Linked DNA regions of Rhinolophus ferrumequinum. The protein of the gene in region 3 interacts with the protein of the main gene of each other region in a pairwise test. Links are inferred from orthologs where the notes say so. Each region holds a gene or a part of one and is shown on either strand. Other genes may lie near its edges. The genes, in order: TXLNA, PKN1, CDR2 and TCHP.

Region 1 (8,016 bases), on a different chromosome or scaffold from region 3:
TTCTGCCTTGAGGCAGCCCTCCCCTATCACACTTTATATTTCTGTCTGTTGAACTGGCTGCCTTCCCTGCTAATCTGTGTGCTTCATGAGGGCTGGGACCAACTCAGTTCTGCCTATTATTGTGGCCCAGTACTTGCTCTGGTGCCCAGCACGGAGGACACGCTCAACAAATACTTATTAAATAAATGGTTGAATCTCTGTGGAATCTCCTTGGTGAGCACCAGGAGTGGGAGAAACAAAAAACGCAAAACTGCCTGCTCTTCCAACAGGTGAGAAAAAGGTGGCCACCTGTGAATTCAGTGTTACTGTTTCAATGCAAAGAGGGCCCTTCTGATAGAGGAAGGATGCAAAAAGGAAAAGGTTTCCTTGAGGACTACTAAACTCTCACCAACAGAGGTAGCAAAACAGTGAACTTTAAAATGAATGTACCTCCCGATATTTGATCCTAAGATTAAAAACAAACAAAATAACCTTGTTTAAGTTAGGATGACAGTTAGGGGATACGGGAGTAGGGGCTAAGGGTATAATACCACCGGACTTTGATTTTTTAACACACACTAGCCGCCCCCATTCCCACCTTCAGCCAAGACTCTCCTGCACTGCCTGTGCCTGAGTCAGAATCTTCCTTGCCTCCCTAGAGAGCCACCGTACATAGCACAGCACCAGGCTTCTGAAGTGGCAGCCCTAGGAGGCTCCAAGAGACCAATGTGGAGACTGCAAATCACTAGCACACAGGCCAAATCCAACCCACAGATGGGTTTTGTTTGATTCCTAGCATATTAGTTGCGTGTAATTCTAGATTTCTAGCTTAAAAAAAAGGGGGCTGGGACTCTGGCTAGAATTAGGCTGTAGTTTTACATGCTATCAACTTGCTGGGACCAGGTGACAGTCAACCCTTTGGATGAAGGAGGCACTCTCTTCGTCCTCACGAGGCCCCTGACTAACTTGGCTTGTTTGTGTTTTCAACCCTGGTCTAGCCCAATTCTCTACTGTGACAACAAAGGACTGGAGAGGAGAAAGGCCTTGCCCAACACAACAGGTTAGAAACCGTGCAGGCTGGCTGGCTGGCACAGGAGTCCACCCAGCAGATTGAATTTCGGTTCCCACTTGCTCCCAAGGCCAGAAGCCCTTGTGCAGTGAACCACCTGCACACCTCTATGCTATGGCCCTACAGCCCTGGCACTGATTAAGCCCTGGGAAGTAGTTTCCTCTGCATCCTAGCAGAGTAGGCTAGCCCAGGGAATCTCGGGTCCAAACTCCCTCCCCTCAACAGCATCACGAGTAGCTTCCCTCTGCTCACCCAGACCCTTGGCTTTCTTCTTTTCTTGTGGCCTTCGGTGGTCTCGGTCTCCAACCTCATCACTTGCCCGGATCTCGTCTGTGCCTGGCTCTCCCTTGCAGGTCTCCTTCTCACCATTGACTACTGGGGTCTCTGGCTCAGGCTCCCCATTCCTCGAGGCATAGGTGCGGGACTTGTCTGCATCTTCGGGTTCAGCAGGCTCACCCTGTGCCCCATTCTCACCTGGGCCCCCCTGATTGTTGTCCACACAGTATGTACTCAGGATGTCCTCCAACTGGCGGCTCAGCTCCTCAGAGACATCACGGAGGGCCCCAGACGGAGAGGTTTTGGCTTGTACTCCTAAAGCAGCAGAGGATGAAGGGGCTGAGTGAGAAATAAGATGGTTACACCACTGGTTGCGTTTTTCAGGCCCAAACTTACTGGTTTGGGTGAAATGTTGCCTAACTTCTTTAAGCCGCAGTTTATTTACCTATAAAATGATATGACTACTTCTCACTACCACCCAACCATGTCTGTTACGAGTATAAAAGAAACCAAGTAAAACATTCAGCACATGCAGATGGCATGTAGCAGGAGCTCAATGTCTAGGTCATCTTCTCTTCCCCGAAAAAGTCACTTCTTGCTACTAAAAACCTTCCAGAAATGCCTCAAGTATAGAAAGCAGTTACCCACTGGTGAATGAGGTGTTTCTAATCTGGATGTGCTGGCTGGGTGTTTCATCTGCTTGCCACCCGATTTAATCCTGTCAGAGCCGCCTCGAAAGAGTTCTGTGTCTGCGCTTAAGAGTGGAAGGCTCTCCCAACTCCCCAGGACACTGGGGATCCCAGAGACTCAGCACTGTGGTCCCCTCATTCCACTTCCTTCTTTCTGAGTCAACAGTGGCCTCTAACTCCAGCAGCTACACTGGCCGCACCACAAACTCCTCTCCCTCCCCGCTGGAAACCGAGAGCTGGCACACACCCTCCGTCTTCCCTGGAGTCTGGCTGGTGGCACCTTCAGTTTCTGTTGCACAGGCTGCCTGGCTGGGCAGCCCCGGGGCTCCCTCTGGTCCGGCTTCCGCTTGCCCTGGGTTGCTTTTTGGGTTGGAAGTGCTGCCTGCTGGCTTGGCAGCCCCGTTCTTTTTGTCTTGATTCTTCATTGTGGCTCGCAATGCTAGGTGAGGAGCAGATCCTATAAAACAAGACACTTGCTATTTTCCAGACTTCAAAATTCTTCTCAGCCTGGATCAGAAATCCCAACACCGGGTGCACAAAGCTTCCTATAAACAAACTGGCTGGCGTTCACCAGAGGGAGTCAACGGTTCTCCCTGTCTCTGGCCAGTCAGGGGAGCCTGGGGTGCCCTGGCAGGTTTTTGAGGAGCTGCTCCAGGGGAGGCCTCCTTTTTCTTGAAGCCTCTTCCCGGCACAACGCGTCCACCTCACCACAGGCGGAGCGCGGGATAGGCTCCCCGCCGCAGACTGACGTGGCGGGACGCTCGATTCCGGTTCCCTCCTCTGCGCCCTAGGCCCCACGTGGGCACCCCCCTCCTCCCGGCTCCGCGCGCGCACAGCCACCCACACCCCGCGCGCTCTCCGGCCGCGCGCGAACCGCCCGCCGGCGCATGCGCACAGGCCTTAGCTGTTCCCCGGCCCTCGCCCTCGCGCGGAGTCTGTGTGATTCCCCTCACTGGCCGAAAGCGCCCAGGTCTACAGACCCGCTGATCGCCTGGTCCCGCTAGGCGCCGCGGTACCCACCCCAACGCCGTCCGCACAGCTTCGCCCGCTCTGGCCTCACACCGGAAACCCTGGGTAACCGCTGCCGGCAGAGCTGCCTGCTCGCCGCAGCCAATCAATAGCCGGCACTCTCGCGAGGCTTGCTGGGAAAGATATAGCGAAGGGGCCCCTGAGGCGGGTGAGTTGGGAAAGCGGGGGAGGGAAAGGACTACAAGTCCCTTTATGCAGCAGGGCTGACTCCAACTCCCAAGATGCAATATAAAGGGCTTTAGTCCTAGGAGCCGGATACTCAGGTTCGAAAGGAGCCAGTCATTCTGTATACGTACCCACGTCAATCTCCTTTCTGTCGCGCAGAAGCTATGATTCAGCTCCGAAAGGTTTACTCCTGGCTGTTGTTTCTTGCACGCCTCCAACCCTTCCCGCCAGAATTCTGGGCTGGGAACCTGGAGACCTGTATTGCAGTCCTAACTTCATCACTGATTTGCGGGACATTCTTTTCTCTCCCAGAACCTCGATTTCCACGTTCAAATAGAAGCTTTTAATAACAACAGCAGTTCTTTGAACGCTTAAGGTGTGCTTTCCCGGTATCTACATTTTTTTTAAACTTTTAAAATTTATTTTAAGTGTGTTTTTCCAGGACCCATCAGCTCCAAGTCAAGTAGTTCTTTCAGTCTAGTTGTGGAGGGCGCAGGTTAGTGGCCCATGTGGGGATCGAACCTGAAACCTTGTCATTAAGAGCATTGCGCTCTAACAAACTGAGCTAACTGGCCACTGCTGTATCTACTATCTTGATCCTAAGTACTCATCAAGGTAAGTACTATGTCTTATTTCCATTTTACAGCTGCTAACAGTGGTTAGAGCAGGAAGTCTGGCACCAGCACCCATCTTAACTACTGGACCTACCCGGCCTCTTACCCAGAAGAAATAACCATCATGACACACTTTCTCTGAGGATAAGTCAAGGCAACTTGTTAAAGTGGGTTGTATTTTTTTCCCCTCTTCATTACCAGCATGAGCCCCTCTTGGGCAGGGGCTGAGGGGGCCCTGCAAGGGCAAGTTTAGCCTTAGCAGATTCCTGAGCCCTTTTTATCACTGGCCTACTCTCTACAGAGTCTCTGTTGCACTGGAGCTAAAGGGGAAACAAGCCAAATTTTTCAAATGCGAGATCCCAATTCTTTATCGAATTGCCTATAGATAATGGAATAAAAACCAACAACCCATGTGCTTGGGATTTAATGCCTACATAGTTTGGCTTGTTTCCAGACAATCCTGCCCATTCCCTCTGCCTGTTTTTTGCTCTAGAAATACTTTCACTATTGCCTGCATTTCCCAGGATTTTGCAGGTGCTATTCCAGCTTCCAAAATGCCCTTATGGCAAAAACAAAATCTTTTGAGGCCCAGCTCAAAGGTCTCTTTAGAGCCTGCCCTATGCTCTGCAGCCTGTCCTAGCTCCTTATTACTGGTTAGAGTTCTATTACAGCATTAGTAAAGTGTTGAAATTATTTGCTTACAAATCAATGAACCTCTGACTGTTGGCTAAATTCTCTCATCCTAAAGCCTAGGGTTTTGGGGGTGAGGGAAGAGAATGTTTTAATTGTGCAAACTCAGCATTGTTTTAGGGCTCTTAAGATGTTAAGTATTTTTCCCAATTAGAGATACCAGAGTAGTGCTCTTCCCCCTTTCCTTAGGCAGCACAAATTCACCTTTTACCAGGTAACATTGAGAGGCAATTTGGTATAATGGTGAAACTCAAGGCCAGAAAAGTTTGGAATCCAAGTCTCACGAAACCAAGGCCTGATTTATTTCCAGAAAAGCATGTTGGAAATCTGTTGAGGTAACATACAAATCAAGCCTTGATGGATTTCCATAGGAAGGTGTTCTAGGCAGAGATAAAGAACGTAATAAGCAAGAACAAGGTACGCTTGGAGGGGTAGTGTAACAAGAAGGATCAACAGTGGCCCTACAGGGGCCAGCTGGGTAAAGAGTGGAGCAGGCAGGCAAGCAGTAACAATTTGATAAACATGGGTTAAAAAGTCAATTTCTACTTTTGCTATAAAATAGCAACAGTATTAGCACCTGCCAGTCAACTAGTCAGGGACACCATTGGGAATGGTGGTGATGATGGTAAAACAGACCTCTTACAGATTGTTTTCAAGCAGAAACTCAAGCCCAGTAGTGCCAGATATTTTTCAGGATATATCTTTATTTCTTAAAATGTTGGCAGTGAATTAATACTTAAAACACACTGTCTGCCAACCAAAATCCTCCTTTTATGTTGAGTCAGCTTTTTGGCTGCTTGTCTGTAATCTCTGCTTTAGGAATTGACCTAAACCAAAGTGAGTAGTCTGTGAGCTGTATGACCTTCAAGGGCTCAAAGGGCTGTGGAGTGGTGATGAAATGATGTCAAATCCTTTAGAAAAAACTCTAGAAAATACAAACTAAACAGAACTCAGATCAGTAGTTGCTGGGGGTTGGGTGAGGAGGAGAAATTCCTAAGGGGCATGCAGAAACTTCTAGATGGATATGTTCACTATCTTAATTGTGATGATTTCATGGGTATATGTCAAAACTTACCAAACTGCACATTTTAAATATGTGCCATTTACTGTATGTCATTGTATTTCAATAAAGGTGATTTTTAAAGATGTCTTTATAGCAGGAGCAGGCTGTTGCAATTCCTCATTCCACTGTTAGGCCCCAAGTTTAAACACTTTCTTTGTTCACTTCCGAAAAGTCCAGTCTAGGATCATTCCAGAGACGACGCTTTAGAACTTTGCAACAGGTTTTTATTTTTGCTTTATATCTATTACAGTGTTTGAAACCTAAAGAAATAACATTTTCTCTTCAAATTTGGATGTGTATATAAATATCATTTGTCTGGACTCAGCACACTCAATGCCTCGGTTTCTTGGCCTATGTCTGCTCTGAAATCAAGCTTTGTCTGTCTACCCAGGGGCCCTGAGAACTTGGAAAATAGTCAGAGTTTATAGTTCTTGGAAAACTAAGAGCAAATGAACTGCAAAGAAAAACCAGTGAGGAAAATTGGTTTGATTCACCTTCCTAAGATCGGTAGCTGGAAACCCAAGCTATTTTTGAGGGACATCTGGTTTGTATTGGGTGGCTGGGACCTCCTATCCCCTTTGCTTTAGTGGTTCAGTCAAAGGCAATTCCCCCAAAAGTGGGCTAAAAGAGCCCATACCCAACTACAAGGCTTGAGGGTTCTCAGAGAGGTGGACTCTTTAAGGCCATTCTGAGTCAGAGGTTCCCAGCCAGTCTCCGGATATGACCTTTGACTTCCTTCACTGCCCCCAGGGCATGGCAGGATTTGCTTTTCCCAAACCCAGGGGCTGAAAATCTGACCTACACGTGGGAGCAGGGCTAGCATTTAGCTGAGGGGTTCAGGTATGTGCTAATATGGACATCAGTCAGGCTGGCCCAGAAGTAGCGAGGTAGGCCCAAACTCACTGAAGACCTTTATAACACACTACACAAACCTTTGTCTTGGGGTGTTCTGGGCCCCAAATTTAATGCTGCCTCTTCTCTCATACCTAGTTTTGGTTCTGTAAATAGCCCAGGCATGATGCAAAATGCCCTCTGAGGAAAAGTAACAGCTTTAATTCACAGACTTGGTTGGTACTGACCTCAAATTCTTCCCGTGCTATGGTCTTAATCTGGAGGTGGGGTTGGGGGGTAGACAACCGGATGACTGAATCATTTATAAAGGCCTTGGCCAAAGAGCAGCTAGTTCTCAGCTTGTTGGCTTAACAAAAGAATCCAAAAGTTAAGACACAGAAAAAATACTGAACAAGATTGGTCTAGAATCCTAAAACGGCTGTGGAAGAAACCTAACTCTGAGCGATTTCTCAGTCTCACACTCACTTCTAGGATAGTCCTACCTGGAAGATGTTGCCATTGCTTATGAGCATTTCCTATGGTTCAGTGCACTGAGCCTTGCACCCTTTCCCAGACTGCCAGGGAGGCAGACAGTAACACACATTCCTGAGGCCCCCAGCCAGCCTGCTTTCCCTCCGGGTCCCTGTAGTGCCTATAGGGACCTGGAGAATCCAGAATCTGAGCCTACAAGATGAATCTACAGAGGAACACCCAAGATGATGGATACCAAGTTGAGTCTTGAGGAGAAGAGATGTGGCCTGAACATACGAGCTGAGGCATTCAAAGGGGGTTATATGGAATGAGGGAAGTATTGCTAGGCATTTATGCCCTTCCCTTACTAGTTTGCTAGAAACAGGAGTAACTCTAGGATACAGGGGGGGAAGCAGGTAGACACAAGAAAATGGAAATCCATTTCATTCTGTAGACGGTTTTCATTTTAAGCTGGTTTGGCTTGAAAGAAATAAAGTCTGTGCCTGAGCGCCTTCTTTTGCTCTCCCTGACTAAGTATAATAGGAGCTACAATCTGTGCAGTTCAGCTCCAAAAATTGGGCTCCTGGAAAGTGGCTTCCAGCGCAAAGAGAGTAGAAGGAGTAGATCTAAAGGTCCTAGCTAAGGGGGACCATCAAGGGTCCCTGAAAGCTGAGGTCATCAATACCTGCTTCTTGAAAGGATCATTTGTACCCAATGCCCCAAGTATCCAGGATAGCCAGCTGAGGGTGGTACCCATGTGGTTCTACCAGAAGGTGCAGCCAACACCAAGGCCAGGCAATCACTGGGGAGAGCTCAGAAATGAAGGCAGGCTTCTAAGACCAGAGACCCTGTTAGTATTGAAGGAGATGATTTAGGGATGAGATGCCCAGAGAGACTGGCAAAAAAGAATAGCTGGCACTGTTTAAAACAGTAGTTGAACACTTTAGCTAAGAAAAAGGCTCCTTGTCCCCTTAATCCACACCTAGATACCTCCACTCCCACCACAGATCTTAAAATGGATATACTAGCCCTGTGCCAACATATGAAGATTCAAAAACATCTTATCAGGCTATTCCCTATAGCAGGCTGGCAGCCCCTGCATCCCTGTAACAGCATTCAGAAATCTACCAGAAAGCCCTT
Region 2 (7,399 bases), on a different chromosome or scaffold from region 3:
AGGGTGCCAGGCTGGGTTAGGGACCTCCCTGAGACCCACACCATGACCCACAGCACTGGAGACCAGCAAACTAGCAGCCCTCTAAAGCTCAAGTATGACTAGTAATAACAGCAGTTACTCCAAACTGCATCCAGGTCAACTAATTAAGTCCACGAGGCGAGTGCTATTATCACCCCATTTTCAAGATGAGGAAACTGAGGCCCAGAACAGTGTCATAACTTGCCCCAAGGTCCTACAGCCAGCAAGAAGCAGAACCAGGATTTAAACAGGAGTGCCCAGAATCCAAGTGCAGGCTAGGTTGTCAGGCCCTCTCCTCAAATTGCAAGAACCCATTTCACAGATGAAGTAAGTCTTCCTTGCTCCTGACCAACCTTGAGGGCAGCTGCCCCCAGGGAGGGTTTACTGCAGGCCAAGGGCCTCACCTCCCCCAATCCTACCAACCCCTTACTTTAATGTTGAGCAGTTGCCATTATTCTCCCCTACTTTACAGGTGAGGAAACTGAGACTCAGAGAGGAAAAATAAGCAATTTTCAACACCTGCTCACCTCTGGGGACATTTGGCAAGATAAAGAAATATTTTTTGTTGTCACAACTGGGGGTGGGGAGGGGGTGCTATTGGCATCTAGTGGGTTGAGACCAGGGATGCTGCTCAAAAATCTACAGTGCACAGGACAGTCCCCACCTCAAAGAATGATTCAGCCCTGAATGTCAATAGTGTGGAGAAACCCTGGGTTGAAGGACACAAACTCACACCCTAGGCTGCTGACCATGACCACCAGTAAAGATTTCATGGCAGTCCTGCCTGCAGAGCACTTGCCGGGTCTACATCCTCACGACCATGAACACCCTCTTAGTCCCATTTTTTTGCTGTCAGAACTGAGGCTCAGAGAGGCAAAGGCACCGGGCCCAGGACACACAGTGAGGAAGTGACAGCGCTAGAATTTAAACCCAGGGTCTTCTAATACTACTCGCTCCCAACCAGGCCCTGCCCACTGCCCAGGCCCACCCCGTCCCCAGCAGGCAGAGCAGGGGTGTACAGCCAGGAGCAGGGCCAGCTCAAATGGGGGTCCAGGCAGAGAGGAGGAGCAGGCGCCTTCGGCTGCATCTCTAGCAGCTGAGGCCTGAGAATATGCCGAACACAGGATGGAGGGAAGCCTGGCCTCCTGGGTTTTCCTCCCTGGAGTGACTCACTCCTACCCAGGGGGCAGAGGTCACCAGTGGGCCAGCAGGATGAACCTATGAATCAGAGGCCTGGTCCAGCCTTGGAGAATCCCTGCTCCCCGCCACCTCTCACTGTGGAGCAGGAGACCCAGGTTCAGAGGGCCCACCTCCCAGAAACCCCCGTTTCCAAGTGCAGCCAGGGATCTAGACCCCCATGTCCGGAGATTTCAATGCTTTGGGCGTTTCCGGAATCTGGACAGGACATCCGCTTGCCGGACACAGAACAGACAGGCACACGTTGGGACAGAGGGACAGAGTGGCAAGCCCAAGCAGCCACAAGAAAGGAATAACCAGGACGGGAGAAGGGAGGGAAGAGGGTAAGAGATAGGAAGGAAAACCAGGGCACAGGTCCAGCCTCGTTCCAGGAATCACAGCCTCCATCAGGGTCAGGTCTGGTACATACCAAGCACATGCATGCACTGGGGGATTCCTACAAAGCCCTCCCATGACTGGGGGGAGAGAAAGGAACCCTGGCCCTCCCCAGCCCCAAGGTCTGACCTTGTGTGATCTGCAACACCAGATACGCCCAGCTCCTCGGCAAGGCTGGCAGGCCATCAGCAGGACTGGGGTGGGGTACAGGGGGACATGGGGGAGACAGAGGGGATGGAGAGCAGGTGCAGAAGGAGATGAGATCCCGGTTACACAGCACCACAGGACAATGGAGGGATAGTGAGGTACTAAGTGGGCACAGGACAGGTATCAGATTTGGGTCACTGAACCAAAGGTCAGAAGTCACCCTAGCCCTGCTTGTCATAGCCAGGGGAGATGAGTTTAGGACTGTAATGTCCACAAGGTGGCACAGGGAGAATCTGGCTGGGCGGCAGGTTTGCACCAGTCACCTGTACCTGTGTATGTGTATGTGTATGGGGGAGAAGGGGCTGACCCCGCGTGCCACCCATGCCCAGGTAGGATTCCAGGGCCGAGAGAATCCCCAGCCTATTGACCCAGACACTCCCCAACTGGGATCGGGTTCCACCTGACAGCCCGGAGGGTGGCCGTGTGGATCCCCCGTCCCCAGACCTAATGAGGTGACTCGGGCATTTCCGCCAACAGGTGCCAATCTGGGTGGCGTCGACCCTCATAAAGCTCAGTCTGGAGGCGGGGACCGCTGGAGCTTTGTTGTGCGGGGGAAGGGCACGGGCCGGGCGGCCTCCTCGCCTCCTGAGGCACCGTGCCAGGCACCTGCACCAGGTGGAACGGCACCTGCCGGGAACCGAACGCTGAGGGGGGGGCGAGTGTCGGGGGCAACAGGCACCGGGACGCACAACCAGCCTCAGAGACCCGAAGTCGCGCCTCCGCTGCGTCCCCCCGAATTGTCGGGGAGGGGCGGAGCTTCATGGTGCTCGGGGGATTCCGGGACCTCCCCGCTCCCCACCGTGAGTACCTCCACCTGCCGAGAAGTGGGCCGTGCTGGGGCTCCACGGTGCCGGCCCCGGGAAGGAGTACAGGGCGCTCCGGAGGCCCCCCCCCCGCCCTGGCGTCTGGGGACCCCAGAAGCGCGCGGGCGGGGTTCCCCGGTGACGGGCGGCCATGGAGCTTTGCGGACGCAGGTGCACCTACCTGCACAGCGTCGCTGGCCATGTCCTCTCGCCACCCGCCAGGGGTCCCCGCGCGGAGGGAGGGGCGGCTGGAGGAGCGCGCGTGCGCCCCGTGTGGGGCGTGGAGGGAGGGAAGGGGGCGGGCACGGCGAGACCCAGGCCCGGCGTGCGGGCCGCTCCGGCCTGCTAGGCTCCGACCCTGCCTGGCCTGGCCGCCGCGCCCGCGCGCCTCGCCCTCCGGCCCCAGCGGCCGCCGGGCCCGTCACGTGACCGCCGAGGTCGGCGCCCGGGGAGGGGGCGGGGCCAAGGGGCGGGTCTCCCAGCGGCCCCCGGGGCTGCGGGGTCCCGCCTGCCGGGCGGCCCCTCTCCGCAGCCACCAGTACCTCGTTTGCTCCCCGCGCCCTTCTGGATCCGCACTCTGTACAGAGGTACCCCAATTGAGAGCGCGGGAACCCGAAAAGAGTGAGCCCGGTTAAAGCAGGGAGTAGCGGAGGCATTTGGGCCTCCTGGGACCCCTCAAAAACCAATTTCTCTCTCTGTATTTGGAAACTCAGGCCCTCTAGACCCATTCGGCCTACGGGACCCGGGTTAAAGGGCACGGGAACTTCCCCATTGCCTATAGACAAGCTCTGGGTAGATCTGGGTTCAAATCCCAGCGCCTCATGCCTTGGGGGGAGCCCCAAACCCCTAAGAGCGCCTCGTCTATGAAACAGAATTTACCTGCTCACCCCTCAAGTGTTGATAAAATAAGATACTGCAGACCTAGTGCTCGATACGGTAAGCGCTCGATCAGTGTTAGCTGTCATTTTTATTATTGCCGTTATGAAAAGGAGGTTGAATAGCAACTCCATCACTGACTCGCTGTGGGCCACATGGATCCTGTGGCTGCTGAGCCTCAGTTTTCCTCGCTGTAAAATGGGGATCAGCCTCTTCTTTGGGCTGCTGTATGCAAATAGTGCTCCATAAATGCAGACTCCTGCTCCATAAATGCGGAGGCAGAGGGTGGAGGCCTCTCAAGGGTCTCCGAGAGTCTCTGGAGTGTGCAGCTTGGCTCGTGGCCCACCTCAAGACTCCCTTTCAAGCGGGTGACTGGACCAAACCGCAGTCCCTGGGGCGCGGGGCGGGAAGCGCTCCCTTGCGGCGTTGCCTGCACTCTGGCGCCCTCCTGGGATCCACCAAAGTGCAGGGAGCTGCGGGTTCCTTGGTGTCTCATGGCTGTGCGTGGTTTGCGTTGTCCCAGAGACCAGGGCACGATGTTTTCTCTTTCCCTTTTTCCTTTGTGCGACTCTTGGTGGAGGGGGTTAACAGAGAAATAAAGAGAAGGAGAAGGAGAAATTATACCAATCCAGAATCTGCCCATTTCTCTCCCCTCCCAAGGCCCCCACGGGATCCAATTGCAGTCTTCCTTCACCTGGACCAGTGCAGTCGCCTCCTCCCAAGTCTTTCAGCTCTGCCTTCAGCCTCATAGTCTGTTTTCCCCCACAACAGGCCAAGTGCCCCTGTGAACACCTGTGTCAACTCACATCCCTCCTCTGCCTAGAATCCTCTATGGCTCACACCTTCAGAGTAAAAGCCAAAGTCCTAAGCACGACCCCCTTCAACTTTCCCCTCTCCTCCCACCTCCCACTTACTTGCTCACTTCCTCCAGCCACATTGGCCTCCTGGCTGTTCCTTGAATATTTATAGATTCAATGAAATAACCCTTTTGACAGAGTTCTTTTGCTCCAAATTTACAGGTGAGGAAACTGAGGCTCAAAGAAAATACCCTAATCCCAGTTATGGAGCCAGGATGTTTATGGCCCTTGCCCTGAGGAATAGGGTGTCTTCCTCTAATTCTAGCCTTACCCATTTTACAGATGGGAGGATGTGGCAGAGTAAGGATCTGAGCCAGCCCAAGACTGGGCCACCCAGTCCAGGGATGGGCCCTCTGCTGCCTGCCAGGTTCCAGGCTGCCTTCCCGGATGGAGCTGGGGACACCTGCCAAATTCTCACTCCAACCTTCCGGCATTCGTTTACTCAGCGACTATTTATCAATGCCCGCTGGGGACATTGGTGGCACTGGAAACAGAGTCACCCTCCAGGCTTGAAACTTGGAGACGAAGGACTAATTGTACAATTTCAACCAGATATGATAACTGCAGCTGCTCTGGCTCCTCTCCAATCTGCTCTGGGGCCTTGGAAACCCTAAATCATACCCCGTCTCCTACCTCTACCTGCTGGAAAACCTGTTCCCAGCTGGCTGGAGCTCTTAGGAAAAACTTCCGAACCCTCACCTGGGCTACAAGGTGGTCCTGTCAGCTCTCTGCCTACCTGTCCAGCCACATCCCCACCACACCCCTCACCAACACACCGCCATTCAGCAACACTGGCCTTCTCTCTCTTCCCCAAATATTCTTACCTTCCAAACTCAGGGCCTTTGCACTGGCTGTTCCCTGGTTTGGAATGCCCTTCCATCACATCCTCAAGGCTGGCCTTTCTTTATCATTTAGATTTCTGTTTAAATGTCCCCTCCTCTGAGAACTTCCCAGAATACCTCCATGCCCTGTCATATCTGGCTCGTGGCCCTGTTTTATTTATTTTAAATGTAACTTTCTGAAATTGCCCAGTGTCTGGCCTATGCTCGTTCAGTCTTTGTGGAATGAGTGAGTGGACACAGTGTAAGATGTCAGGAGAAAGGTATTCCAGGCCTGTGGTGGCTTTGAGGAGGCAGCCACCCTACTGTGGAGGAGGCAGAAAGGATGGCAATGAAGTTAAGTTGTGAAAGACAAATTGGGAATTTTCAAAGTGGGTAAAGAGGAAAAGGGCGTCTGGTGGAAGGAACAGCAGAAGCAAAGGCCTAGAGGTGAGGGAGAACCTGGCATGTCCTGATTCCTCTGCCCTCATCACCCCTCACTCACTCCTCTCTGGCCTCACAGCCTCTTCACTGCTCCTCAAACATGCTTATTCCTGCCTCAAGGCCTTTATGCTGGCCATTTCTGCAATACTTCTCCTCATCTTGGCATTCTCTTCCTCCGTTCATTTCTATGTTTACTCAAATGTCTTCCCTGACTGCATCTCCACCTAAAACAAGCCCTACCCTCCCTACCAAACGCTACCCCTGGCATAACTTGATTTTTGTTGCAAATTTGACTCTAGTATTTTCTTTCTGATTTGTCTTGACCAGGAAGGTGTCAGCTCCCAGAGGCTAGGGATCATTATCTGTCTTGTTTACTGCTGGGTCTCTGGCTCCTAGTACAGAAAAGATGCTCAATAAAGAGCGGCTGGATGAACAAATGGGTGAATAAACCTGGCATCATAGGGCATGGCTAGGGTTTCTGGTGCTGATGAACCTGGAATGGAGGGCAGGCTCCAGATGTTGCAGATGGTGGATATGGAGTTCAGACTTGACCCTGAGAACTGTGGGAGCCACTGATAGATTCTTAGCAGGGGAGAAACTGAAAGAGGATTGTTTTTCCAAACATAAAGCTCTTTGCAAACCAAGTCTCCACCAGTAGGGGCCAAAGAAAGAAATGGGAGTAGATTTATCTGACACCAGAACTAAATGTGTCAACAGAGTCAAAAACACCTCCTTGAGTAGGATAAAAAAGCAAGTAGAAAAAATGATACAGTTTGAAACTGTTGATATCAATTACTAAAAAAAAAACACAGAATGTGAAACTATCAAGTCTGTGGTAATGTATGGAGTAGTGTGATTGTAGTGTGCCTGGCATCCCGGCTGAGGAGGGTCAGGCTACCTGGGTTCAAATCCTGGCACTACCACACACTAACAGTGAGACCCAGACCCAGTTACTTCACTGCTCTGTGCCTCAGTTTCTTCATCTGTAAAAGGGGATGATAATAGCAGCACCTACCGTGTTTCCCTGAAAATAAGACCTAGCCGGACCATCAGCTTTACTGCGTCTTTTGGAGCAAAAATTATTTTATAAAATAAGACTGGGTCTTATATTAATTTTTGCTCCAAAAGACGCAGAAGAGCTGATGGTCTGGCTAGGTCTTATTTTCGGGGAAACACGATGCCTCAGACGGTTGCTGAGAAGCTTAAATGAATTCTTATAAATCACAGAATTGGGGTGCTGTCATTGTTCAATCTCATTTTTATTGAGGATGTTTATGCGATTTGGGAGGGGAATGGAGTTGGGGAGGTGAACACAGGTGATTTCCACTTTAACTATAATGTGTTATGTCTTTTATTTTAATTATTATTTTGATTGAGGTACAGTTTACCTATGGTAAAGTACACAGATATTTTGGTGTGAGGCTCCGTGAATTTTTATATACGAGCAATACACCCGTGGCCATGACCTAGTCTACTCCCCAGCTACGTAAATTTTACTTGTGTCCTTTCTCAGGCTACCTTGTCCTTTGGATTCTACCATATCACCATAGATTAATTTTGCCTCTTCTTGAATTTCACACTGCATGGAATCATTTTATGATTTTATGTCTGGATTTTTCATGTCTGGATTCTTTCAACATGTTTTGTCTTCTATTGAAATAAAATTCACATACCATATAAATCACTCTTCTTAAGTGTGCCATCTAGTGATTTTTAGTAATTCACAATGAACATGATGTTTTTGAGATTTGTCCATCATGTCGTGTATATCATTAGCTTATTCCTTTTTATTTCTAGTGGTATC
Region 3 (7,440 bases):
CAAGGCCATGAACTGAGTGATAGTTTGTGAATACCACGGGATTTCCCGAGACACAGAATATCTTAATAATGAGGCTGCTTGTTCCACGTAAGTGAATTTCCCGAATCACCAAGCTTAGCCTTTAAACTCTAAAGCTTTTATGCGTTAAGTGGCAATCTCTTACAAATCTCCTTGCCCTCCCACAGAGGATCTTGGACGTGGCTAACCTTTTCTTAACACTTAATTCTTCAGCTGTGTGAAGAATCGGCTCTTGGGAAAATCACAACAATGCACAACTGTGAAAGAGAGAAACACTGTCTCAGGTGAAAGGACAGGTAAGGGCTCACCCCACTGGGCGTGGTGAAAAGCCACTTCTGAAATCTTGTACAGATGCAGAAAACGCTCCACGCAGTAGAAGCGGAAGACAGAATTTAGCATTTTAGTCCCTAATGTTATTGTAGAATATGCCCAAGAATGGGATTGGTACTTAAAAGTGGCATTTTCCATGCAGAGGAATTCTTCTTCCTTTTGTTTAAAAAAAAAAAAAAAAAGGAAAATGGTTAAAATTCACTGTTTCCATGCGATGGGTGGCAAAATTCCACTGGACACTAGTTAATTTTAGTTAAATGAGTCCAAATCTCCTCGCTGTGAATATGTAATGATTTAACACTTTACTTTCCTATCTACTCACTCAACACTTTTTGAGATGTTGCCGGGAACTCTAATTTCATAGAGTATGACCGTACGTGAATATATTTTTACTATTTCTTCTAACTTATAAACATGAGATTTATCCAAGAGTTTGGGCACGCTTAACTCGAGGCCAGGGAGATGCACTTATGGCATTATTACCCTCCCTACCTGGGAGAGTGCGCTAGAAAAAAGAACAATGAGGTGACATCCTTTAGCTAAAGCCAAAGAGAAGGAATTGAAGCAAACCCCTCCTGTTAGTATTATAGTATTACATACTTGCATTGGAAGAGTCAGTCTTTTTTTTCTCCTGACAGACTATGTAACTTTGGCCCAAGGGACATACCTAAAATGGACGTAGAAAAAACCCATTTTGATCCTCACTTGATGTAAACGTCCCTCTTAAATCTGGCCTACTGTCTTACCCTTTCAGTGACTTGATTTACCACAGTGGAAAACAGGAAAGGGTTAGCCAAGCTAGAGGTAGGTATAGATTCATCTTCCTTTTAATCTTGATGATAGTTTTAAGATAACGCCATGATTTTCCTGTTTTATCCGGCCGTACTGGAATATTCGGCCAGGTCTCCACAATCTCACTGAATCAGAAAACACAAATATTCAGCTACCTTGAGAGACGTAACTTGCCTAAATGATGCTTGAGAATTAAGCTGACACTGCCGTCTGTATTGCCCAATTTCTTAGGGAAGGAAGGGCACATGAGAGATCAAATTAAGTCCCTGAGCTTCATTTTGCATTGGGAGGATCCAAGAATGATTCCAATTCTATAGGAAGTGGGGCCCTAGAATTGTAAAAGGGGTTGCTAAACCCCTATGCAGACCAAGTATTGTCTGCAGACTGAACACAGAATGTTTTGCCCATGTGTACTTGGATTCTTATAATGTTTGCAGATACTGCTGTAATGAGGGAATACAAATCTGAATGTTTGTGGCTTTTTTTGTCATTATGCTCAAAGCACTTGAAAAATAGAAGTATTATCGTGTGGAAGGCAGCCAACAATTCTCAAATTTGAAAACGCGGGGAACTACTGGTGAAACCCTCACCCTCAAGAGTCATTTTTGGCATACGTGAGATGCAGATTGAGGCTAGAGGTCACTGGGTTACTAAGAGAGCTCAAAACAAGGGAGTCAGAAACACCAGAAGCCAAGATACACATTTAGCCCACCAAAATCTGGACACTTCTTTTCCTTTATTTCAGGCGTGTTAAAACAAGAAGCATGTGCCACGCCTTCTGAATTGCTCTACCATTAAGTCAGAAGGCAGCTATTTATAAAGTCAGAATTTTGCAAAAGGTCAGAAGTTTGCTGAGTTGAGAGCAAATTTTTCAAAAAGAATTTGAGTTAAGCAGGCATCCTGTCTGAAACATATGAATATAAGGTTTTTAAAACATTAAGAAAACATTTGTTTACATACCGGGGATGCCAAAAAAATGTATAAATGTGGACACTGGTCAACGTGGTTCAAGCAGTAGTTTGCTGTCATCAGAAGTGTCTGGACGCTGATGGGAACCACTTTGAGCACCTCTTGCAATTGCAGAAGTCAAACGTGACTTGTATTCTTTTGTTATCGGTATATATTATAATTTTAATAGTTTTCTTAAAATGTATATACATTTTTTTGGCATCCTCTGTATATTGAGAGGAGGAAGCGAACTTTTCCTTATTTCTATCTGCAAAAGAGCTCTCAGTATTTTGCTTTAGATTACTGTCATCATAGTAAATACTTATTTCAGTAAGTGTCACACTGAAAATCACCACTTAAAATTTCTTTAAAAGCCACCACTATTATCTAAAGTCTCTCCTTACACAATTTTAGTATAGCAACAAAACACCCAAGAACCAGAATATTACATCTTTACAACTCGGAACGAAGGACTTCTGGTTCCTTTTTACCACAAACTGTTTTATACAGAGGAGTTTAAAAGTACCCAAATGGTGTCACGATTAGGCTGAGCCAGTGAATTGTTAAACAAAAGCCCAAAGCCTCCTTTTAGAATCAACTTGGGTTGTTCTTCACTGGCCTACTACTAAACCAAATGCTATTAATGTTGCTAAAGAACCTGCTTTGATAACTTCCAAACTATGCCTACTTAGATTCTAAAAGAATGCCAGAGACTCCTCCAAGGTAAGGCTTTCAGCACTGAAAGCTAACATCTCTTTTTCGATGCAATTTTGTTTTTTTTCCAGGGGAAAAAACCTCAAGTTTCCCCAAATAGTGTCCTTAAAAAGAACCCACTTCAAATATATGGTGATGGAAGGAGAACTGACTGCGTGGTGAACACAAAATGGGATTTATAGATGATGTAATACAGAATTGTACACCTGAAATCTATGTAACTTTACTAACAATTGTCACCCCAATAAACTTTAATTAAAAAAAAAAAAAGAACCCACTAATACCGAAAGGCATAAAGCCTGGCTTTTTATTCTGTGCCCTTTTAAATTATCAATGACTTTAATTCTCCAGATCACTCTCTCTGAAGGAAAATATAAAAGAACGTTTCAGTACACTTTCCCATTTGATTTGGAGTCCAAATGAGCTATGTGCCATGGAGAAAAATGCCAGCATTTTCAATCTTGCGCATCAGTGACCAGGGAAGCCAAGTCTCCTGAAGGTCAAATGCATGACGCTCAACCTTTCAGCTTCCGCAAATCACCATCAGCAAATCCTAAATCCAATATCCTCGCTTTCCAAAAAGCTCTGTCTGTGGTGATTTACTTTGAAATTAAGACGGTTTGAAGTTATTTCCTTTTGACTCGGGACCGATACCTGTATCAGGATATGGACAAGCAGGCCATTGGGGCTTTACACTGAACCAAGCTATCTTCGTTTTTAGCCCAGCAATAAAACGTGGATGACTAACATTTTGCCTTTCAGTACACCAGCATTCAGCAGAAAAGAATTTGTGAGTTTACCATTCCTTTTTCTTTTTTATATTCCTCCCACATTTGTTGGCTGGCATTCTACTCTGAGAGAGAGGACTGCATTCGCTTCCCTCCAGGTACAAGGTCATGACCCTAGAGGCATAACTGGTGGTCCATGGACATTTCAAAACTCGCACGCAAAACTGCTCGCAATGTGTTTCTAAGGAGATAGCTTCAACTGCACCCCTTCCCGCTCGCAAGTTCCCCAGTGGGTCTGGAGCCCGCTGTTTTGGGGGAGTTGAGTGCAATTCCCTGCGGGTTGGAGGTGAGAAGGGCGCAGAGGTCAAGGAGAAAACGGCTGGCGGTCCCCACGGCCCGACCAACCCTTAATTTCCGCGCATCAACGAGAGGGCCCCGGGGGGTCCAAAGACCAGAAAGGGTCACAGGGCCGCGCGCCTCGGGCTCCCGGCACCCTTCGCGCCCCGGCCTGCACGAGGGACGCCCAGCGACACCAGCCCAGGCCCGCAGGCCGGACTCCCACCCTCACGCCCACACAACCTGACCACGGGCTGGCTGTCCCCGCGGCCACACACCCACCACAGGCGCCGCGGAGGCCGCCACCTCCACACCCCGGCACTGGAGCGCGCTCCCAGAAGCCACCCAACGCAGGAGAGGGCGGGGCCTCCGGCCGCACCCCTTCCCTTTTCCCCGCCTTCTTTGTTTCCTCCGGAGTGGCCATTGGCTGCTTGCCCACGAGACCGGGCGAACCGCGGGCCTGCGGGAAGACGCCATTGGGCGACGTCGCTGCTCCTCGGCCGGCGACCCGCTCGCGATTGGCGGAGGCGCCGCCCGGGGTTTGAATGCAGCCCCCGTCGGGGAGCTTGCTGCCAAAGTGCCACGTTGGGTGCCGCTGCTGCGCGAGGAGCCGGCTCCGGGCGCCGGCCGGGGTGCTCGCGCCGGGTTGCCGGCCATCGGGGCCGTTGGGCCTCAGGACGCGAGTCAGAAAGCCGGTCCGCGGCAGCGGCGGTGCTCGGGCGGCTCTGGACCGGCGGCGTGGCGGCGCGTCCCGCCCGAGGGCGGCTCTGGCTGAGGACGGAGGAACCGGCGGGGAGCCCGGGGCAGCGGCCGAGGCGGGACGGCGGCAGCGGGCGCCGCTGCCCCCGGGAGAGCCGGCCGAGATGCTGGCGGAAAGCGTGGTGGAGGAGTTCGAGGTGGAGGAAGAGCCGTGGTACGACAATCGGGACCTCCAGCAAGGTGAGAGCGCGGGCGGCCGGCGGGCGGCCAGGCCCCGGAGGCTTCCGGCGGCGAACCTCTTAAAAAGTTGCTTGTGCTCGTGGCCCACGGATGCCAGGTGCGGGCGAAGCGCGGCGTCCACCTGGCGTGGGGACCCGCCGCACCTGCGCGTCCCGCCCCGGAGGCGGGCTCGGCGCGGGCCGAGGCTGCTGCGCAGGTATCGGCAGCATCACGCGTGCGGAGGGCTAGCTCTGCGCCCGCACGGGCTGCAGGGAGTCCTCCCCGCATTGCTCCGCGGCGCGGGTGGGAGTTGCTGCAGGTGGCCGGGGGAGCAGAGCGCTCCGGCAGGACCCGTGCCCAGCCCTGGGCCCACCTGTGATCCGCACAATAGCTCTGCGCGAGGTAGCTTTTGTTAACCCCACTTTCCGGAGGAGGAAAACGGAGGCCAGAGCGGCCAAGTGACTTCCCTTGCGTTAGGAGTGGGAGCGTGTTTGAACCCACACACTCAGAAGGAGGAACCACAGCCGCTACCCAAACCCTGGCTTTTCGTTACCAGCCGCTTTACAGCTTCTTCAGTTGGGTGTTCGACTGTTGGGCGGAAAAATTGCTTCTGCATCCTTCACCTGAGGCCCTGAAATGACTGAAGGGCATTTCTACCTCGACCCCTTCCTTCCCTTAGAAACAGGCACTCCTATCTGAACCTGCCTTGGATTTCTTGCTGATTGATGGTGTCTCTAGAGAAAATCGTTGGACAGTCCTCACTTTGCAGCCTCCCTATAAGGCCCCCCTTTACTGCACATGAGTAGCAGGAGCTTGAAATTGGGGAGCGCTTTTTGGGGGCCACTGACAGGCCCTTTAACACAGCTGCTCATTTAATCTCAACAACTATGGAGGTAGAAAGGAAGATACTGTTATTGGAGCTAGGATCCCACTTCAAACTCCAGAGCAAACTTTCTTAACCACTATTCTGAAGAATCCTCAGGAATTTTTTTTTCAGGCATCTTCCGTTTCTGCAATTCTGTGTACATCGACGTTTTCAACTCTCCACTTGCAGTGACAATTAACATTTCATCTAGTTGAATATTAAATGACCATGATGTTTGTTCATGCTAACCATTGAACTGGGGGGGCGGGAAGGAATGTAAACTTGAATTACTCATATTTAGAAAAGGGAAATAAAACAAGTACATCTTTTGGGGGAAGGTGATTTCTTAAATCAACATGCTGTGTGGACAGTCACTTAAACCAAAGTAGTTCACCATTACGCTTGCTTAAATGGTGTAAGCTACTTAGCAGCTGCAGTGCAGTATTTGCCATCACATTTTCCATGTCCACAAGACACATTTGTCTTACATTTTAACAAGCCTGTTTTCAGTTTGATATTTTCTCTAGGATTAATGTGAGAACCACTGTACAACTGCAACATTTCCTTATAACAAATTAAGCAGTTCGTATGGTCATAGCTAAATATTTTTCTTTCCTGCATTTAAGAAACATAGATCTGTACAGGCTTGTTTTGTTTTTGAATCTGGTGGAATCCTTGGCACATAACAGAAGCTTGATTTTAATATTTGTTGACCTGAACTGAAGCACTCGCAGAGGGTTACTGTTTTCATTGCTCTCTTCTATCAGGTCCCTCAGTCCACAAGGCATTTGCCCTGTGGGAAGTTGTTAGGAAGATTCATTTGTAATGTTTCAATCTACTGAGAAGCAAATGCAACTTGTTGGGGTTACTAACCTCTGGGCAAAAGGAAGTCATCAGGTGTTCAACTTCAATGAGATCTTAACGAACACGGGTCCAAACCTCCTTAATGCCAGTTTGCGTTTGGAATTTGTTCTGTGTTTCTTCTCAAAGGACTTTTACGTCCGTATCACGATGGACTTTGACATAACTCTCTATGTCATAACCAAGTGTGTCGGGTAGGAATAGACTGGAAATTCCACACAAACAGTTTGCATTTGGAATTTGTTCTGTGCTTCTTCTCAAAGGACTTTTCCATCCATATCACGATGGACTTAGACATAACGCTCTATGTCATAACCAAGTGTGTTGGGTAGGAATAGACAGGAAATTCCAACAATCATAACTTGTGAATAAGGCCTGTAAAAGAAAGAAGGATACAGTGTGAATAAAAGGATGATCTTTGTCCCAATTTTGTTAAATTGTGTCTTAAAGAACTCCTAAACTTCTAACGGATTTTAAAATTTGTTAATTTCTCAAATACTTACCAACTCTATGCCAGGTACAGATCCAGGCCCTGGGGCCACAGTCCCTACCCACAGATAGGACAGGCAGGATCCCACAGCAAAGTGAAATGGAGGGTCTAGGAATCTGTTGACGAGAGAGGCCTAGAGACGCTGCCTCCTGGTCTGTGCCCACCTCTGCCTGGCACATGGTAGGCCCTCAATAGATATTTGTTGCTGAATAAAGTTTGGGAGCAGCAGGTCTGCCCTCTTAAATATTTCGATAAGCAAATTAGTGGGATTTTATCAAGTGCAGACAGACATCTGTTCATTTTTAACATCCTCACAGGCATATGCCTCATTTTAGTGCATTTGCTTTGTTCTATTGCGCCTTAGAGGTGGTGGGCTTATTTTTGGTGGTGGTTTTTTGTTTTTAAATGGAAGGCAAGACTCTCCACCAGCAAAAAGATTA
Region 4 (8,015 bases), on a different chromosome or scaffold from region 3:
TGGTTAACGCTGTTAATAACAAACTGGTACTGTTATCCTTATTGTACAGATGAGAAAACTGAAGCTCAGATATGAAATAATTTGGAGCTAAACGGAGGTTCCTTTCTTCATATCAGGCTGGCCTTGAAAGATAATATGAATACCAAAAAAAGTTAGTGCCATTCCATCAGATAAATATATTCCAGCAGTTGGAAGCAGGCTGAGCTACATGAGGACTCTGAATGGAAGGTTCTAGAACAGAATTCCATTGTCCAGCTTCCTCTGTATATAGAAGCAGGCCTGTCAGAATAAGGTCTGAAGAGCTCACCTGATTTACAGAAGAGGCTCCAATGAAGGTGCAGTGGGAGGTCCCAGCCACACACTGGAAGAGGGCCGGCTTACCTGTACAAGTTTCTTTCAAGGTGATGACCTCCACATTGGGACAGATGAGGTGAGTGCCATAGGCCAGGAGTGCTTGGAGGGATGCCACAGCGTCCAGGTGGAAAAAAACAAAAACAAATAAAACCGAATGACAAGAACTAAAAGTTAATCACGACGAAGGGCATGTCCCCCTTTTCTCCAGTGGTAGATAAAACAGTGACCTCCAAAGATGTCGGCCTCCTAATCCCAGAACCTGTGAATATATTACCTGACATGGTAAAAGGGGTTTTGCAGATGTGATTAAGGTTAAAAACCCAGAGATGGAGATGTTAACCTGAGTTATCCAGTTGGGTGCATGAATCCTTAAAAGTGGAGAAGCTTTCCCCATCTGTGGTCCAAGCAGATGTGACTAACTAAGGAAGAACGGTCAGAGGGAGCCTCAAAAAGCCCCAAAGGCAAAGAAACCGATTCTCCAGAGAGTCTCCAGAAAGGAATGCAGCCCTGCTGACACCTTGGACTGAACCCCTTGAGACCCAAGTCAGGTTTCTGTCCTACAGAAGTACATAATGTACACAGGGTGTTCTTAATGGGAAATTGGTGCAAAGTATATGGGACCTCTCTGTACTACCTTTGCAATTTTTTCTTTGAATGTAAAGCGAGTCTAAAATAAAACATTAATTTAAAAATACAGATGCCCAGGCCCCATCCCTGACCAATTAAATCAGAACCTCTATCTTGGGGACCAAGCATCAGGATGTTTTAGAAGCCCTCTAGGTGATTCAGACCTGCAGCCAGGCTTGAGAGCCACGCATGCATTGAAGGCACCTGGCAAAGTATAAAACCTGATGGAAATGCAGGTTGTGATGATTGATCAACAAGGCACTATTTTTCTTTTTAATGACACAAGTAACAGTGACCATCGCAAAATTAAAACCCGAGAGAGAGATAAAAATTAAAATCTCCCCTAATCCTGCCCCTTAGTAATAGCCACTATTTTGGTGACTGCCTTTTCACACTTGTTTCTCATGGAATACCTACATTTCTTATAATTCCTGATATTATTACTATGAAAACACAAAATTGGAGCTCTGAGAGGCAGCCCCATACCCCCAGGGTCTTTGAACTCGTCTGTCTACTTCTGCATTCTTTGTCTTCGGGGAGGGTAGGAGCCCCACCCAGGGGAGAAGGCTGGTGTTGAAACGCTATGTAAACCCAGCAGAGATGAATGCACCTTGGTGATGCCACCTGCTAATTAAGTGAGGGCATTGCACAGCCTCCGGTGCTGTCACATTTCAGTTAATGGGGAGTTGCTCCGTGTTATCATGCCATCTCCCCATTCCTGTTTTCTCCTCCCACACTAGGACACCCAAAGATACAAGTCCAAAAACAGACCCTCATAAATGTGTGCGGGCCCAGGGCCCAGTGTGCACAGCGTCCACCTGGATGGTTTCCTGCCAGTGCTTCCTCCCTCAGCCCCCTGTGGGCCTTTGTCATCAACCTGTCACTAAATATTTAATCTTGCTGAACTCTTTATATGTCCCATCTGGTCCACGTCTAGGGGCCTCTTTTAAGAGCTACACCTGCAAGCCACACGCTCCTGGAAAAGCAGAGAGAGGAGAGAGTCACAAGCTCCGGAGGATGGGTGTGAATCCTGCTCTTGTAGTCCTTGCTGTGTGACCTCAAGAGAGTCGCTTGACCTCCCAGTGTCTCAGTTTCCTCATCTGCAAAATGGAGGCAGAAATCTCCACAGGGCGGAGGGAGCGTTGGCACGTGGTCAGTAGTCAAACAATGTTAGTTCCTTGTTGTCATTCTTTTTTATTTCTTTCAATACCATCTCTTCCTTTTTCTTTTGGAGAAGGAGGAGAGGGACTCAAAGGTGGAGGAATCTACTCATTCATTCTCAACAAATATTTATTGAGTGCCTACTCTGTGGCAGGCGCTGGGACAACAGCAGGGAAGGTAATGATCCCTTATGCTGCCGAGAGGGCCCAGCCCTCAGATGAGACCTGGGTTTAAATCTTGGCTCTGCCACCTACAAGTTGTGGTTCCTTGGGCAGGTGATACCACCCATCCGAGGCTCGGTTTAAGCAACTCGGAAATGGGGACAATAAAATATCTCACAGCGTTCCTGAGAGGAACAAAGGAAAAGATACCTGTAAAGATGATTGACGACTCTCTTCCAGTCCCAGGGGCTTCGGCAGCAGCCGCGCGCTTCAGTGCAGACATGGCCAAGTCCAAGAACCACACCAAGTACAACCAGTCCCGAGAATGGCACAGAAGCAGCATTAAGAAACCCTGATCACAAAGATACGAATCTCTGAAGGGGTGGGCTCCAAGTTCCTGAGGAACATGCGCTTTGCCAGAAAGCACAACAAGAAGGGCCTGAAGAAGACGCAGACCACCAACACCAAGGCCGTGAGTGCACTGGCTGAGGCTTCAAGGCCCTCGTAAAGCCCGACGAGGTCAAGCCCAAGATCCCAAAGGGCGGCAGCCGCAAGCTCAGTCGACTTGCCTACATCGCCCACCCCATGCTTGGGAACCGTGCTTGTGCCTGCATCGCCAAGGGTCTTGGGCTCTGACGGCCAAAATCCAAGGCCAAGGTTCAAACCAAGGCCCCCGGCCGTGGCTGCAGCTGCAGCTCCACCTCCAGCTCAGGCTCCGGCTCCCAAAGGTACCCAGGCTCCCATGAAGACTGCAGAGTAGAAGCGTCTGACTGCTGATATGAGGACGAAAGGACTGGTGGGACCCCTGCGCTGCTGTCTGCATGGGGCTGGTGTCCTCCTGTGCTATTTGTACAAATAAACCTGAAGCAGGATCTGTAAAAAAAAAAAAAAACCACACACACAACAACAACAAGATGCTTGATGAGCTACAGGCAGCTGTGTAATCATAAGGTGAGAAGTTGAACAGTGGGGGGCCAGTAATGATGGCCATCCAGCAGAAGAGGCTCAGAGGCTATGGCCTGCAGCCTTGGGCTTCTAGGACCAGGCCAGTCAAGCCCTAGGCACTTGACTCCCACCAGTGGAGCATGTTTGGTCCTTTAAGGCCATTATACAGATTAAGAAACTGAGGCCCAGAGAGGAGAAGGGCATCACGCAAGAGTTGCAAAATCAGGACCTGAAGCCAGGTCTCTCCTGACCCAATTCACATATTTCTGAAGTTCCTACCACACTTGGGGAATCCCACCAATGATTATTTATGTATTGGGCTCTCTTGGTGGGTGGGCAGCTCTGCCTGGGCTGATCCCAGGGGAGGGGTGGCTGCCTCCCCTGCCCATTGGGGACACAATATGAAAAAGTGGAGGTGAGTTTAGCCAAAGGGGTAGGGACCATTAGGAGGGTAACTCTGGGGAGTCTCATGCACTCAGGGCAGACCCTGAGAAAACATGTGCCACGTAAAGGGAGATGGGAAAGAAAGTGCGCTTACCTGAGATGCACCAGGTGCTCTGCTTCTGGGCGCTCGCTCTCCATTTAAACCTTCATTTCCTCTCACAAGGGCAACCCTAGAAAGCAACACTGTTGGTACCTTGTTAAAAAGTAAACTGAGGCACATAAACATTTTCAAGAGTTTATTTGAGCATACATCAATTCAACCTGGGCAACACCCAAAGGTGGTTAGGAGCTAGAGGAGAGGTGTTTATAGAGAAGAAGAAACAGGAAAAAAGCAAGGACATTATTTGATTGGCTTGTTTAAGCAGTTGCCTTATTTGGGAAAGCTTATTTGGCTGGTTGTGATTGGTTGTTCTTAAATTTAATTTTCTTGGATTCGAGAGCACGGATTCTGGCTTTGCTTTTAGTTTGCCTGCATAAGCAACAGAGGCATTAGAGCCACCGCCATCGAATGGTCCCCTTGTTTAATTAATTTAGCATTCTTATTTCACAAATGAGGATGCTGAGAAATGACATGACCTACACAAGACCTCTATACAACTACTGTGGTAGAGGTTGAACAGAGGCCAGCCATGACGTTCAACAGGATACTATACTGCATTCAGGAAAAACAGAGAAAGGGAAAGAAAAAATGAAGAGAAGAATGGGAAAGTGAAAGAAAAGAGAATGAATGAAAGAGTGGACATTTTTCATTATCTTTTTAATGGAATAGTTGAGACATAAAATAATACATGTAACACATGTGAGTCATAAAATATACTGATAGAATGAACACGAACCTACAACCCATCTAACACAGTAGGAAGTTACCAGTAATTTGTACCTACTTACACCAGGGGTTCTTGCAGTTGGTTGCACATTGAACACTCCTGGGGAGCTTAGGCAACCACTAATGCTCTCAGAGAGACTGACGCGATTTGCTTCGAGTTTGGGCTGGGCTTCTGGACTTTTTTTAAGGCATCTGGATTTTTAAGTCCTCCCCAGGTGATTCTAACGTGCAGCCAGGTTTGAGAACCACTGGCTTATATTCTCCTCCCCTCCTGTATCCCCCTGACTCCCTCCATCCTTATGTTTATCCACCCCAGATGACCACCATCCTGAATTTTGTGTAGTGAATGGCTTCTTCTTCCTTCATCCTTCGCTTCCAGGACAAGCGATATTTGCGATTTACCTCCCGCCCACCACGAGGGGGCGCCAGAGAAAAAAAAGCAGCTTCCTTTCTGTGCCATCGGGGTCGCGCTGGAGTCGGCTTGGCCCTGGCGGCGTTCCGTCGCCGTCCTGTCGCTCGGGCGACGAGCAGGGAAACGGCGGGCTTGGGTTAGCGCGGCCCGGGAGGGTGGCCGCGGGACAAGCGGGCTTGGTTGTGGCATGCGGGAGCTCGGGCCGGGCGCTCTGCGGACTTCGGGGCGTAGAGAAACGTGAGTCGGAGCTGAGGCTGAGCCGGGGGCCGGTCTTCCTGTCTTCCCTCTGCCTCACCGCGCTCTGAGTCCCGTCTCTTTCCTCTGTGACCCCTCGTCCTGTGTGGATGTTGAGGCCGCGAGAGGGATACGACTTGTTCAGGGAGCAGCCCAGCTTGCTTGTGGCCGATCCGGGACCGGAATCTTAAATTTCTTAACTCCTGGTGCAAAGATTTCTCCACGGGCAGCTTGCAGGGCAAGGAAAAAAGCATGTCAAGCCTTCCAGCCTCAAGACAGATTATAAAGAGGCCAGCCGCAGACTAAACTTGGCTCACAGACGCAGATTATTTCCCCCAGGTCTGGATGACTCTGAATTTGAGATTGGCCTGGACCCAGGTCTTCTGCTTATTCAACAGACGTTCCTTAAGCACTGTCATAGCCTGGCACTGGGTAGACCCTAAACACGGGGGCGGGAGGGGGCAGCTTTTGGGTCGGGGAAAAGAAGTCCGGAGTGAGACCACTCTGCTTTCAAGTCTCCAGTTGTGTCCCCAGATTGCTATGTGACCTGGGAAAATCAACTCCTCTCTGGGTCACAGTTTCTCCGTATGTAAGATGAGGGATCTGCCCTTCATGCCAACCCAGAACACTTCCAGGTGTGACACCAGGACTAGGTCCCTCCCTGGGGGCGGCCAAAGCCAGGGAATGCCTCTTGCAATCATCAGAGCTTGGACCCTGCGTGGTTTAGGATCCCCCCTTTCTTATTTCCTCTACTTCCTGGTTTTGTGGTCTTGGGCAAGTCACATTACCTCTTTGAACTTAAGTTTCCTCCCCTGCCAAATAATGGAGTGATTGTAATAAAAAAGGTCATATATATCAAGAGCTTGGTACATATGTTCCTTAAATTATTATCCGTTACTTTATGCAGAGCATACAAACCCCCAATGTGCCTGGTCTCCATTGCTAGGACTGGTTCTGTCTGTCTGTCTGCAGTGCCCTTGATGACGTACGACACACAGCCAGGTGCAGTCCAGGCTTATTTAAAACCGATGATTTGCAGCCCTGATGGCAAATCATTAAAACAGGGCTGATGTCTGGGGCCTACGTTCAGACTTGCTGGATTTCATTGGTTTGGAGTGGGGCCGAGGTTCCGTCAGGTGATTCCAGTGTGTAGCCCAGGGGTGAGGACTTCTTCCTAAAGGGGGGAGGCCAAGCTTGTGAGGGGTCCTGGGGTGGCAGCCGGCTCATTTTCCTACCATTGCCGTTCTCAGATGGCACTGCCCACGCTGCCCTCCTACTGGTGCAGCCGGAGGCTCCTGGACCAGCAGGTAGCACGACAGCGGCACCAAGAGCAGCAGGCGCGGCTTCGGCAGCAGTGGGATGAGAACAGCCGCTACTTCAGGATGTCTGACATCTGCAGCTCCAAACAGGCAGAATGGAGCTCCAAGACGTCCTACCAGCGGAGGTAACGGTGCGGTGCGGGGGCCGCGACTGCATGGGAGCAGGCAGCCGCTTGCCGCTCAGGGAATGTGGCCTTAAGGACCTGGGGGAGTCTGGCTTGACAGCATGTTTTCTCGAAGGAGTTGCTGGACAGCATGGATTGCCTGTCTGGTGATGCTTTTCTAACTGGAAATTGAAAAACTGAGCACCAGTGCAGTACTCCATTTGCACTGAAAAAGAAAATGATCAGAAATGTATATAGAATCTGGAAATCTTGTAACCCCACGTCCCCAGAGGGAACCACAGTTACCAGCCTGATGCATATCCTCCCACACTTTTTCTCATTTGTGTTTGTGTATAAACAGACGCACACACACACACCCATTTTTATAAAAAGATGTGTAAAAATATGGGAGTTAAAAGCAGAGGCTTTGGAGTCAGACAGACCTAGATGGAAATTCTGTGTCACTTGCCGCATGAATGAGCCTCAGTTTCCTCATCAGTAAAGTGGGGCTGAAACAGAACCTACTTTGTAGGATTTACGTGATGATTCATATAAAACCATTCATGGTTTTAGTTGGTACAAATAATATTCTCTAGTACATGATCACTATAAGCGATTATACGTTTTCTTATTGCAAAAGCAAGGTTCTGTTATGCATGGTGTTCTGTGACCTGCTCTGTTCCCTTTGGCTGGAAGACCTTTTCCTGTGTCACTATGTTATATTATACCCACCTCAGCCTCTTTACCCACACAGCAGAGCAGACTGGTCCATATGACTGTCGTGTGACTGATTTATGGTGGGCTCCTTCTCACCCAGCATGCATGCCTACCAGCGTGAGAAGATGAAGGAGGAGAAGAGGAAGCATCTGGAGGCCAGACGGGAGAAACTCCAGCAGCTTCTGCTGGAGGAGCAGGACCTGCTGGCCAGAGAACTGGAGGAGCTAAGGCTGAGCATGAACTTGCGGGAAAGAAGAATCCGGGAACGGCACGGGAATCTCAAGTCAGCCCGGGAAGAGCAAAGGAAACTGGTAAGTTCTCATCGCCCTTAGGAGCGTTCCCCAGCCTGTCAGTGACACACACATGTGGGTCACCCCGGAACGCTCTGGTCTGATGAGACAGCAGTTAACTGCAAAACCAGCTGGGAAAACTGCTTAGTCTGAAGTCATTCTTCACGTGTGTGTTTTGCAGGAGTCATCTTTATTCTCTGTGGCCCTTTAAATCATTACAGCCAAGTCCTTTTTCTTTAGCCCAGGACTGCTATATTTTATCTTCCAGAGTGGTGGTGTGGAATGGCGAACCCCAGTCTGTGTTTTTAAGCCTGCTGTACATTGTGAAATAGATCTGTAGCATCCGATTTTGCCCCGTTTCTGTCACCATTGTAAGCGTCATTTGTCAGTGCCATCCGGTCCCACGCAGGTGTCTGGCTCC

The links.
Region 1: the proteins of CDR2 (region 3) and TXLNA interact in binary tests that used the Homo sapiens proteins (3 or more experiments, as listed by UniProt). The two-hybrid records come from large-scale screens. The link is inferred for Rhinolophus ferrumequinum from reciprocal best matches to the Homo sapiens genes CDR2 and TXLNA.
Region 2: the proteins of CDR2 (region 3) and PKN1 interact in binary tests that used the Homo sapiens proteins (3 or more experiments, as listed by UniProt). The link is inferred for Rhinolophus ferrumequinum from reciprocal best matches to the Homo sapiens genes CDR2 and PKN1.
Region 4: the proteins of CDR2 (region 3) and TCHP interact in binary tests that used the Homo sapiens proteins (3 or more experiments, as listed by UniProt). The two-hybrid records come from large-scale screens. The link is inferred for Rhinolophus ferrumequinum from reciprocal best matches to the Homo sapiens genes CDR2 and TCHP.

The regions. Positions count from the first base shown.
Region 1 is NC_046292.1:22,081,865-22,089,880, reverse strand, and holds the start of TXLNA (alpha-taxilin), read right to left. Parts: upstream 3,012-8,016; 5' UTR 2,994-3,011; intron 2,767-2,993; exon of another isoform or gene 2,471-2,766; 5' UTR 2,439-2,470; coding exon 2,261-2,438; intron 1,664-2,260; coding exon 1,301-1,663; intron 1-1,300. UniProt on the Homo sapiens protein: May be involved in intracellular vesicle traffic and potentially in calcium-dependent exocytosis in neuroendocrine cells.
Region 2 is NC_046301.1:47,690,824-47,698,222, forward strand, and holds the start of PKN1 (serine/threonine-protein kinase N1), read right to left. Parts: upstream 3,011-7,399; 5' UTR 2,803-3,010; coding exon of another isoform or gene 2,782-2,802; intron 1,785-2,781; 5' UTR 1,777-1,784; coding exon 1,720-1,776; intron 1-1,719. UniProt on the Homo sapiens protein: PKC-related serine/threonine-protein kinase involved in various processes such as regulation of the intermediate filaments of the actin cytoskeleton, cell migration, tumor cell invasion and transcription regulation.
Region 3 is NW_022680357.1:16,828,305-16,835,744, reverse strand, and holds the start of CDR2 (cerebellar degeneration-related protein 2), read left to right. Parts: upstream 1-4,426; 5' UTR 4,427-4,729; coding exon 4,730-4,805; intron 4,806-6,522; exon of another isoform or gene 6,523-6,885; intron 6,886-7,013; exon of another isoform or gene 7,014-7,184; intron 7,185-7,440.
Region 4 is NC_046308.1:13,785,027-13,793,041, reverse strand, and holds the start of TCHP (trichoplein keratin filament-binding protein), read left to right. Parts: upstream 1-5,007; 5' UTR 5,008-5,167; intron 5,168-6,414; coding exon 6,415-6,608; intron 6,609-7,404; coding exon 7,405-7,615; intron 7,616-8,015. UniProt on the Homo sapiens protein: Tumor suppressor which has the ability to inhibit cell growth and be pro-apoptotic during cell stress. Inhibits cell growth in bladder and prostate cancer cells by a down-regulation of HSPB1 by inhibiting its phosphorylation.